Canis lupus familiaris: one gene and its partners. The protein of the gene in region 1 interacts with the protein of each later gene in a biochemical or structural test. Links are inferred from orthologs where the notes say so. Each region holds a gene or a part of one and is shown in the gene's direction. Other genes may lie near its edges.

Evidence for each region.
Region 2: the proteins of RBBP8 (region 1) and CTBP1 form a complex in vitro, tested with the Homo sapiens proteins (3 studies listed by BioGRID and IntAct). The link is inferred for Canis lupus familiaris from reciprocal best matches to the Homo sapiens genes RBBP8 and CTBP1.
Region 3: the proteins of RBBP8 (region 1) and KLHL15 form a complex in vitro, tested with the Homo sapiens proteins (2 studies listed by BioGRID, with this or other methods). The link is inferred for Canis lupus familiaris from reciprocal best matches to the Homo sapiens genes RBBP8 and KLHL15.

The regions. Positions count from the first base shown.
Region 1 is NC_049228.1:65,288,163-65,291,815, reverse strand, and holds part of RBBP8 (DNA endonuclease RBBP8), read left to right. Parts: intron 1-1,675; coding exon 1,676-1,764; intron 1,765-3,288; coding exon 3,289-3,406; intron 3,407-3,653. UniProt on the Homo sapiens protein: Endonuclease that cooperates with the MRE11-RAD50-NBN (MRN) complex in DNA-end resection, the first step of double-strand break (DSB) repair through the homologous recombination (HR) pathway.
Region 2 is NC_049224.1:92,005,613-92,009,157, forward strand, and holds the end of CTBP1 (C-terminal-binding protein 1), read left to right. Parts: intron 1-666; coding exon 667-797; intron 798-1,188; coding exon 1,189-1,316; intron 1,317-1,731; coding exon 1,732-1,849; intron 1,850-2,071; coding exon 2,072-2,258; 3' UTR 2,259-3,013; downstream 3,014-3,545. UniProt on the Homo sapiens protein: Corepressor targeting diverse transcription regulators such as GLIS2 or BCL6. Has dehydrogenase activity. Involved in controlling the equilibrium between tubular and stacked structures in the Golgi complex.
Region 3 is NC_049260.1:19,701,060-19,704,113, reverse strand, and holds the end of KLHL15 (kelch-like protein 15), read left to right. Parts: coding exon 1-543; 3' UTR 544-2,427; downstream 2,428-3,054. UniProt on the Homo sapiens protein: Substrate-specific adapter for CUL3 E3 ubiquitin-protein ligase complex.

The DNA.
Region 1 (3,653 bases):
CCTGCATGGAGCCTGCTTCTCCCTCTGCCTGTGTCTCTGCTTTTCTCTCTCTCTCTCTCTCATTCTCTCTCTCTCTCTCTCTGTATCTCTCATGAATAAATAAATAAAAATCTTTAAAAAAAAAAAAAAAAGGAATGCAGATTGGTACAGCTACTATGGAAAACAGTGTAGAGGTTCCAAAAAATTAAAAATAGAATTACCATATGATCCGATAATTCTACTACTGTGTATGAGAATACTAATTCAGGGGGTGCCTGAGTGGCTCGGTGGTTGAGCATCTGCCTTTGGCTCAGGGCATATCTCGAGTCTGGGGATTGAGTCCCACATCGGGCTCCCTGCACAGAGCCTGCTTCTCCCTCTGCCTGTGTCTCTGCCTCTCTCTCTCTCTCTCTCTCTCTGTGCCTCTCATGAATAAATAAATAAAATATTTTAAAAAAATTTTAAAAAGAGAATACTAATTCAGAAAGATATATATACCCCATATTTCATTGTAGCATTATTTACCGTAGCCAGGATATGAAAGCAACCCAAGTGTCCATAGATAAATCAATGAATAAACAAAAATGCGGTTATGTATATACAGTGTGATATTACTGAGTCATAGAAAAGAAAAATATCTTGCCATTTACAACAACATGGATGGACCTAGAGGGTATAATGCTAAGTGAAATAGAGAAAGACAGATACTGTATGATTTCCCTTACATGTGGAATTTAAGAAACAAACAGAAGAGACAAAACTAAAGCAGACTCTTAAATACATAGAACAAACTGATGGTTGCCAGAGGGGAGGTGGGGGAGTGGGAATCAGTGAACTAGATAAAGGGGATTAAGAGTACGCTTTCTTGATGAGCACTGAGAAGTGTATAGAACTATTGAATCACATTGTACATCTGAAACTAATATAACACTGGATGTTAATTATACTTGAGTAAGAAAGAATTTTCTACATGAAGAACAATACCCATTAGCAATCATTCTGCATTCCTCTTCCCTCTTTCCCAATCCCAGGCAACTAGCCTACCCTCTATCTCTATAGATTTGCCTATTGTGTTTTCATATGAACGGAATCATATATGATTTTTTGTGACTTTTCATTTTTTCACTACTATGAATGTTCATAGCAGAACATTGAGTGCAATCTTATGTAGATGTATATTTTCATCTTTTTTGAGTTATATATAGGAGTAAAATTGTTAGACCATATGCTAACTGTATTTAACCTTTTGAGGAACTGTTTTCCAGAGCATCTATGTCATTTTACATTCCCATCAGCAACACTTAAAGTTCCCATTTTTCTACATTTTCACCAATACTTGTTATTATCTTTTTTATTCTAGCCATACTTTGGGTATGAAGTGTTATCTCATTGTGGTTTTGATTTGCCTTTTCCTGACAGCTAATGCTGTTGAATGTCTTTCCATATGCTTATTGGCCATTTGTATATCTTCTTTGAGGATTGTCTGTTTAGATTCTTTGCTTATTTTCAGTTGGGGTATTTGTCTTATTATTGAGTTGTGAGAGTTCTTTTTATGTCCTGGATGCAGCCCCTTTAGCAAATAGAGGATTTGCAAATCTTTTTTCCCATTCTTTGGATCTCATAAGGTTTTAAAGTGATAAGAATGTTTAAAATCCATTTTTTCCATTTTAATTGTATTTTTTTCTCCTTATTGAAGATGGATCCTTTGAAAATATCCAGTGGAGCATAGATCCAGGAGCAGACCTCTCTCAATATAAAATGGATACTACTGTAGTAGATACAAAGGTAAGTTAGAAAGTAAAACCAAGGCCCATGTGGTTATTCTAGTAAGTTGTTAGTCATCCTTCTCCCCTAACTAACTCTGTGACGTTAAGATAATCACATATCTGCATTTATTTATTCCAAATAAAACCTGCATTTCTTTATTCAGAAAACTAAGAAATGAAAATGCTTATTCTTCTAACTTTATGATGTTTTTGAAAGGGTAATAATACTTTCTGACTTTAAAGGCCTTTGTTGAGACACCCAAGGGGCTCAGTAGGTTAAGCATCCGACTCTTGATTTCAGCTCAGGTCATGATCTCAGGGTTGTGAGATTGAGCTCTACATTAGGCTCCATGCTGGGCTTTGAACCTACTTAAGATTCTCTCCCTCTCCCTTTGCCCCTCTTCTCTCTCTGTCTCTGTCTCTGTCTCCCTTTCTCTCTCTCTCTCTCCCCCCCCTAAAAAAAATGAAAAAGAAAGGCCTTTGCTGAAAAATATTATAGTATTAAATAACGAAAAATGCTAATTACATATTTTAATAATTTTATACACACACATATATATTTTAAAGATTTTATTTATTTATTAGAGAGAGTGCGCGCACGCAAACTAGGAGGAGCAGAGGGACAAGCAGATTTCCCTGCTAAACAGGGAACCCGATACAGGGCTCAATCCCAGGACCCTGGAATCATGACCTGAGCAGTAGGCAGACACTTAATCAACTGAGCCAGCCACAGGCCCCTTAATAATTTTATATTTTATCAAAATAATTCATCATATGCCTTGATTAACTTTTAAAATAACATACCATAAAGAAAAAAATTATTTTCCCAGTTGGCTATTTTTTAAATACTGTATATTTCTCTAAAAATTAAAATTCCCAGGCTCCTGGGTGCTCAGTTAAATGTCCAACTCTAGATTTCAGCTCTGGTGATAATTTCAGGGTCATGAGTTAGGCCTCACATTGGCCTCATGCTGGGCATGGAGCCAGCTTAAGATTCTCTCTCTCCTCCATCTGCCCCTCCCCTGCTCTTAAAAAAAAAAAAAAAAAGATAAAATTCCTAGTGGAAATAACTCTTTTGGCTTGTTTTTAGGTTTTATATAGTTTGAAAAGTACTCTTTCACTTGGGAGCATATTAATGAAGTATTTAACTTGGTACAGTATGAAATTGTTGTTCTTTGTGTACACTGACATTCATTACTGTGAAGCCAACTGGAGAAGAAAGGGAGGAGAAGCCCAGGGAGGTCAGTGGTATGCATCTCTCCCTTCCTTGGCAGCAGTCCTTCTTTTTGTGGGCTTGAGAGAGGATACTTGTGTATTGAAGCTAAAATGTTTTACAGGCAATAAAACCTAAATCTATATATATTCCTAAAGAATAAAAATAAATATAACTTAATGCTATTGAAGTGTACACTTAAAATATGGTAAAAAAAAAAAAAAAAAAAAGGTCAATTTCATGCTGTGTATATTTTACCAGAATTTTTAAAAAGTAAATATAAGGCCATATGGGATAATTGTTAAAATTTTTGAATTTTTAAATATTTAGGATGGCAGTCAGTCAAGATTAGCAGGAGGAGAGACAGTGGACATGGACTGCACATTGGTTAGTGAAACTGTGCTTTTAAAAATGAAGAAGCAAGAGCAGAAGGGAGAGAAAAGTCCAAGTAAGATTTGATTTTTTTTTAATTTAATAAAAATGTAGAGGGAAGTTTATAGTCATACCATTGCACTGATGACCAGAAGTGACCTCTTCACCATAAACCAGGGGTTTTTTCTTGTTCTGATGAATAGATTTCTCTTAGTAAAGCTCAGTTTCAGTATTACAAGGGGAAAATATCTTTAGCCAAAATCTTTTTTTTCCAGAAAGAACTCGAATTGTCCAGGGCTCAGCAAACCACAACCAGCTGCCAG
Region 2 (3,545 bases), on another chromosome or scaffold:
GCGTCACACCGTGGCTGTGAGGCGTGGCCCTGGGTCAGGCAGGAGCTGGAACTAGCAGTGGCCTCTCATGGGCTCCGGGGTCCCCGGCGGGGGTGTGTGTGTGCCCGCACGGGGTCTGCCCCTGGCCCCTGTGGCCCCGCGGAGGATGAGCCCAGGCACCCGGGGCTCCTCTTTGCCTCCAGTCGGTGGGGTGGGGCTGGGGAGGGCGCAGGCACAGGCGTGGCGCTGGGGCACTGGTCGGAGCCGCGCACCCCCAAGACCCAGGTGTGGGGCTGGGAGCTGCCTGCGTTCCGGGGGGCTCAGGACCGTTGGCCCGAGGACGTGAAGCTGCATGGGGACCGAGCGGGTGCTGCCACCCGAGGGAACAGGGCTCTCTGGCCACTGCACCGAAGACCATGTCTCTGGGTTTTGTGTCCGTCATCCCAGGATCACAGGGTCCTGAACCCACTTCCGCAGCTGTGTGCAGGGGTAGGGGCTTGGGCCACACCGTGTCCCAGAGGCGCCACATCCTTTCCATGGGGGGATGTGCATCTGGGGGGCCGGGCCAGGAGAGCCCACAACTGCAGCCAGGGGTCCTCTGGGCGGGGTGCGGTCCCCAGGCAGGGTGGGCGCAAGCCGAGAGGCCTGTGTGCTGATTCACGTGCTGCTGTTTTTGTGTCCTCCCAGATGCGACAAGGCGCCTTCCTGGTGAACACGGCCCGGGGCGGCCTGGTCGACGAGAAGGCCTTGGCCCAGGCCCTGAAGGAGGGGCGGATCCGGGGTGCCGCCCTGGACGTGCACGAATCTGAGCCCTTCAGGTGCCTCCTGGCAGCGCCCTGGGTGATTCCTGGATGCCACCTCTCCCAAACCCACCCTCGCCCGCGCTCACACCCGCTCGCAGTCTGCAGGCCCCAGGTCCCGTTCTTGGGCTTTGTGTCCAGCCCCACCAGGGCCCAGTGGGCAGGTGGCCAGTCCTGGAGGCGGGATGGCGAGGGCTCGGTCACGCGGTGCCTTGGGGCGCCGAGCCGTGTGGCCGCGTCTGCAGAGGCCTCGACCCAGAAGGGGCAGCGCTCGTCAGCCCTGCCGAGAGGGTCTGGGGCCTGGGCCCCGCAGCTCCAGGGACCAGCGCTCCGTGGCGGGGCCGGGGTGTGGCCACAGGCAGGGTCACGCTCCCTCCGCCCCAGCCTGACCGCTTTGTGCCATTTGTAGCTTTAGCCAGGGTCCCCTGAAGGACGCTCCCAACCTGATCTGCACCCCCCACGCGGCCTGGTACAGCGAGCAGGCGTCCATCGAGATGCGAGAGGAGGCGGCCCGGGAGATCCGGAGGGCCATCACAGGTGAGGTGGCCCCGAGCCTCCCTCAGAGGCCGTGAGATGGACCTGCCCCAGCAGGCGTCCCCCGGGGGGCTCCCCGCACAGCCCTCGAGCCCCCCGAGTCCCCCGAGGGTGTCCCACGCTGCCCACTCACGGTCACCCCGTGCCCTCACCCATGGGCCGGACGGCTGGCTGAGCTGGGGACCTGGGCTGGGCCTTGTCTGCTGCTCCCCGAGGTCCCCAGGGCTGGCAGACGTGGGGGGCCCCTGAGGGGCATCCCCTGGGCTGGGGAGTCTCGGAGCTGCGAGCTGCTATGTCCCGGGAGGAGAGGCGGAGGGGGAGCCCCGCTGCGGAACCGCAGCCCGTGTCTGCCACCGAGCTGCCACAGTGCTGGGGGCAGCCACATGACAGGCCCTTCTCTGTCCACCGTACATGCCAGGCCGCATCCCCGACAGCCTGAAAAACTGTGTCAACAAGGACCACCTGACCGCCGCCACCCACTGGGCCAGCATGGACCCCGGCGTAGTGCACCCTGAGCTCAACGGGGCCGCCTACAGGTGAGCGGGTGTGGAGGGGGCGGGGACACGGGGTCCCCTGGAAACGCGTGCTCGTGTGCGCCCCAGGGGACCAGGGGCCGGGCTGTGGGAGCCAGAGCCACCAGGCGTGAGGCGAAGAGCCCATGGAGCAGCAGGCCGGGGAGGAGTCGAGGCCTGGGGGGGTCCCTGGGCCGAGGCCACGGAAGGGACCCCGCCAGCCTCACGTGCCCTCTGTCCTCCCAGCAGGTACCCGCCGGGCGTGGTGGGCGTGGCCCCCAGCGGCATCCCCACTGCCGTCGAAGGCATCGTCCCCAGCGCCATGTCCCTGTCCCACGGCCTGCCCCCCGTGTCCCACCCGCCCCACGCCCCTTCTCCCGGCCAAACCGTCAAGCCCGAGGCAGATAGAGACCACGCGACCGACCAGTTGTAGCCCGGGCGGAGCTCGACGGCCTCGGCACGGGCAGGGCGGCGCCCTCGGAGCGGCGTGTGCAGAGGCGGCGCCTGCGGTGGCCCCGGCGCTGCAGAGACTGTCCAGGCGCCGGGCGGGGGAGGTGGCGCCGGCCTCCCCGCGTCCGCTGTAGTTGTCCCGTCCCGAGGGCCAGCCGCTGTCCTGTGTCCTTTGCGTCCTCGTTAAGCAAAAGAAGTTAGTAGTTAATTCTATCATGAATGTTCTCGTCTGTGTACAGTCTTTAGAACATTACAGAGGATTTGTTTGCTTAGCTGTCAACAGCAGGAGAGCCTGAGCGAACACTCAGCAGGCCGCGTCACACGGCGCCCCTCGTGTGGGACCGCGCCCCGGAACGAGGCAGTTGGCAAACTTCTCAGGACAACGAATCCTTCCCGTTTTTCTTTCTACGCCACTCAGTGCATTGTTTTTTCTACCTGCTTGTCTTATTTTTAGAATAATTTAGAAAAACAAAACAACGGCTGTTTTTCCTAATTTTGGCATGAATCCCCTTGTTCCAAACAAAGACGGCTTCGCAAAGTGGCTCCAAGAAGTGCGCGTCGCCCACAGCGCGCTCGGCCGTCGGCATCTGTCCTGGGGATGTGAGGGCGCAGCGTCCCGGCCTGCGCGGGTGCCGTCCTGCTGACGTGGTAGGCTAGCAATATTTTGGTTAAAATCATGTTTGTGACTGTAACCATTTGTATGAATTATTTTAAAGAAATAAAAATCCCAGAAAGAGCCGGCAGGCCCAGCGTCTGTTTCGTGGCTTTGCGGCCCCCCGTGGGTCTCTGTCCTGGCCCTGGTGGCCTCGGGGGCTGGAGCGGGCGGCCCTGGGCACCCGGGGCAGTGGTCCTGGGGGGGCCGGAGGCGGCGGGCCGTGTGGGTGCGGGCGGGAGCCGCGCTGTTTGTGGGGACCAGTGCACCCCACCCCCGCCCGCCTGGGGTCACGACCAGAGCGGGTGCCGCGGCCTGTGCAGGAGCGGGCTCCGGGACGCTGCGGGGATGCCGGCTTCACAGGGGTCCCTCCCTCGTGGCCACTCAGGGCTAAACCGGGGTGTCCTGTTCACAGTCCCCTGGACGCCCGTTGCACGCCCGCCCTGCACGGCCCACGGCATAGCTGGCCCGCCTCCTGCCCGCTCTGCGGGGAAAGCACGGTGAACGGTGACCGCTGAGGGGGCTCCTGGGGACACGCCTTGGCGTTGCCACACTCAGGGTCTGCAGGACAGGACTGCGGGTTGGGAGCCGCCGTCCTGCGGGGCTGGGGTCCCAGCC
Region 3 (3,054 bases), on another chromosome or scaffold:
AATAACAAGTTGTTCATCACCGGTGGGATCACCTCATCTTCCACCTCCAAACAAGTGTGCGTGTTTGACCCCAGTAAAGAAGGGACCATAGAACAGCGGACCAGAAGAACGCAAGTGGTTACCAACTGTTGGGAGAATAAGAGCAAGATGAATTACGCGAGATGCTTTCACAAGATGATCTCTTACAACGGCAAGCTTTATGTCTTCGGTGGTGTCTGTGTGATCTTGAGGGCCTCTTTTGAATCTCAGGGATGCCCTTCCACAGAAGTGTACAACCCGGAGACTGATCAGTGGACCATCTTAGCATCCATGCCAATTGGCAGAAGTGGCCATGGTGTGACTGTGCTGGACAAACAGATAATGGTTCTTGGAGGCCTTTGCTACAACGGTCATTACAGCGATTCCATTCTTACTTTTGACCCGGAAGAGAACAAGTGGAAGGAAGATGAGTACCCACGGATGCCCTGCAAGCTGGATGGTTTACAGGTGTGCAACCTGCATTTCCCGGAGTACATACTGGACGAGGTCAGACGCTGCAACTAGTGACGTCTTTCTCCCTTTCGAAAAAGCCAAACACAAAATTCATTTGTGACAAAGTAGTTAATTAAAAAAAACATAAAGAAAAACCTCACCAGTTTTACTATCGAAGCCATTGGTCTAATAGCGTAAAAAATGTTTCATTCTGTGCTAGCATCATTTTATTTTTCTTTTCAGTGGCCTCAAACTCATGCAATAAGTTCATTCTAAGCGCTAGCTCTTGAAACTACTTCCAGAAGCAGTTGAATAGAGTGATCCACTTATCTGGGAAGTTGATTTTATGCTTTAAAACATTTCTTTCAGATGTCAGCGTAGGAGTCCTGCATCTTCTAAGAGAAGACCTGATAAGTGTCACTGGGTGTAATTTTGGTTCCTATCTCAACCTGAAATCTTTTTGAAACGTTTATTTCAGTGTATTACAGTCTGTTAGACCTTTTGGTTTTATTATTTAAGGTTAAAACTCTTGACCTTTTTGCATGGCTTTTTGCTGAAAATGCAAAAATATAAATTTTCTACAAAAGTAACTTTTTTATATTCAAAACACTATTTCTAAGCTGCCTTCTCTTATCTGCATTGTGTTAGTGAAAGCATATCCATACTTGCAAACATCTTATGAACATATAAGGCACATCTCCTTTTATGCGTGGTTAGGATTCTATATTTTTAAGCTAGTGCACTTGCACACACAGTTTGCCATACTTGTTGAATTTTAGATGTAACGTCTTTTCATGTATTAACATTTTTAGAAAGTTAAAATAACTGGAGTCCTCATTTGGTATCAAAGTAGCCTATCTTCAGTCCATACTGATTCAGTAATATCTGAGCTCCTTGTATTCCTGAAACATGTATGGATTTCTGAAAACTAACATTTTATATTTTATTTTCACAAGTAAACATTAGTGTTCCTTATCAATGTATGTCTTCTTTTTGAAATTGTTTTTCTTTGCAGTCTGTATAACGTTACCCTGTTTTTAGTGAGAATCGGACTGGTATACGCAGCCCTGGCCCTGCAGCGTGCAAGCACTTTTAAAGAGAATTTAGGTAATACCAGACTCCTAAATAAAGGCCCCTTAAAAGTAAGTGCAACTCCCATTCTTTACATTCAGTAAGGCTGCTGCATCTGTTATTGAATGGAAAGTAGCAACTCGTGGAAAATTTGAGCTCATTTTTGACTTTAGAGGTAAGAAACAGAATTATAATCTTACTGGTCATATCTACTTGTTTATTTAGTACAAAATACTTAGTCGCACTGGGGATGTAAGCCCTCAGCCTTTGTTTTATTTACTGAAAGCTACTAGCATGAAGGATGGGAACCTCAAAGTTCAGAATGGTTCAGGAATAACTGTTTAAAAGCATTTATGATAAGTGTTTTAGGATTAGCCGCGCACCTTTCAATTCTTGAAACTCGAAGGAAAAACACATAGTTGACAAAATTAAGCAAGAATAACTGGGGAGTGGATCATTCAAATTGATACCATTTTCTCCTGAGTAGAGTCTATATCTGATACAGACAAGTTAGTTCTACACTGGCAAAACTTGCCAGAACTTAGGATGTTGGTGCAATATTGCAATGCCTTCTTCTATGGCTGTTGTATAAATTTTCTAGTTTTTCTTTTCTTTTCTTTTTTTTTTTTTTTTTGCTGCTGCCACCACTGAACACAAAATGGAAGAGTGAAGTCATGGAAATGGAAATGTGAAGACTTTTGCTTTGTGTTTTTTGTTGTTGTTGTTGTTGTTGTTAATTGAGATAGACAACTATGACAAAAACACCTGATTTTAAAACTCCAGAACTGGGAGGCATTTGAGAAACAGTCAGGTACACAAGTAGTTTTTGAGAAAAAGAAACATTGGCATTGATTTTAGAAATAAAATTAATGATACTCTTTTGTATATGAGACTTAAATTTTTATTAAGTGGTTCTATCATTTACTTTCACTTTCTAGAAATAAAATTCAGTACCTTTTTTCCCATGGTTAATATGGGTAAAAGTCTTTTCCTACCTTTAAAAAATCCTTGTTAGTCATTTTACTTTTGAAAACTAGCAGTTAGGTTAGCCGTTTAATTGTTTTTCTAATGTTATTAGTTGGTTTAGTGTTTTTGTGTGTGTGTGCTGTCTTGCTTTAAAGAAAATAACAATAACGTCTTCATTATTTTCCTCATTGTTGTCTTTTGCTGGAAAAGACCGAGACAGGGTACCCCTATCAGGCTTTTACGCTTTCACACACCAGTGGTGGTTCTCTTTAATTGTTTAGATATGACTTCATAGCCCTAGTTAGGGTAAGATCTGGGCAAACAGTTGAATATTCTTGGTCTTCCTTTCTCAAGACACAAAGACCAAGATCAAAGTTCGTGTTTTGGAAAATTTGTGAAATCTTAACTTGAAACTAACTCTGGGTTCAGCTTCACACGTAAGTCATGTCTGACCTGATGTTAGCTGTTATCAGTTTTGAGCTTTAAGGATAGTTGCTATTGCTTGGGTTCTGAATGTATGAGAAAACTCATCTTGTTTAAATGTAG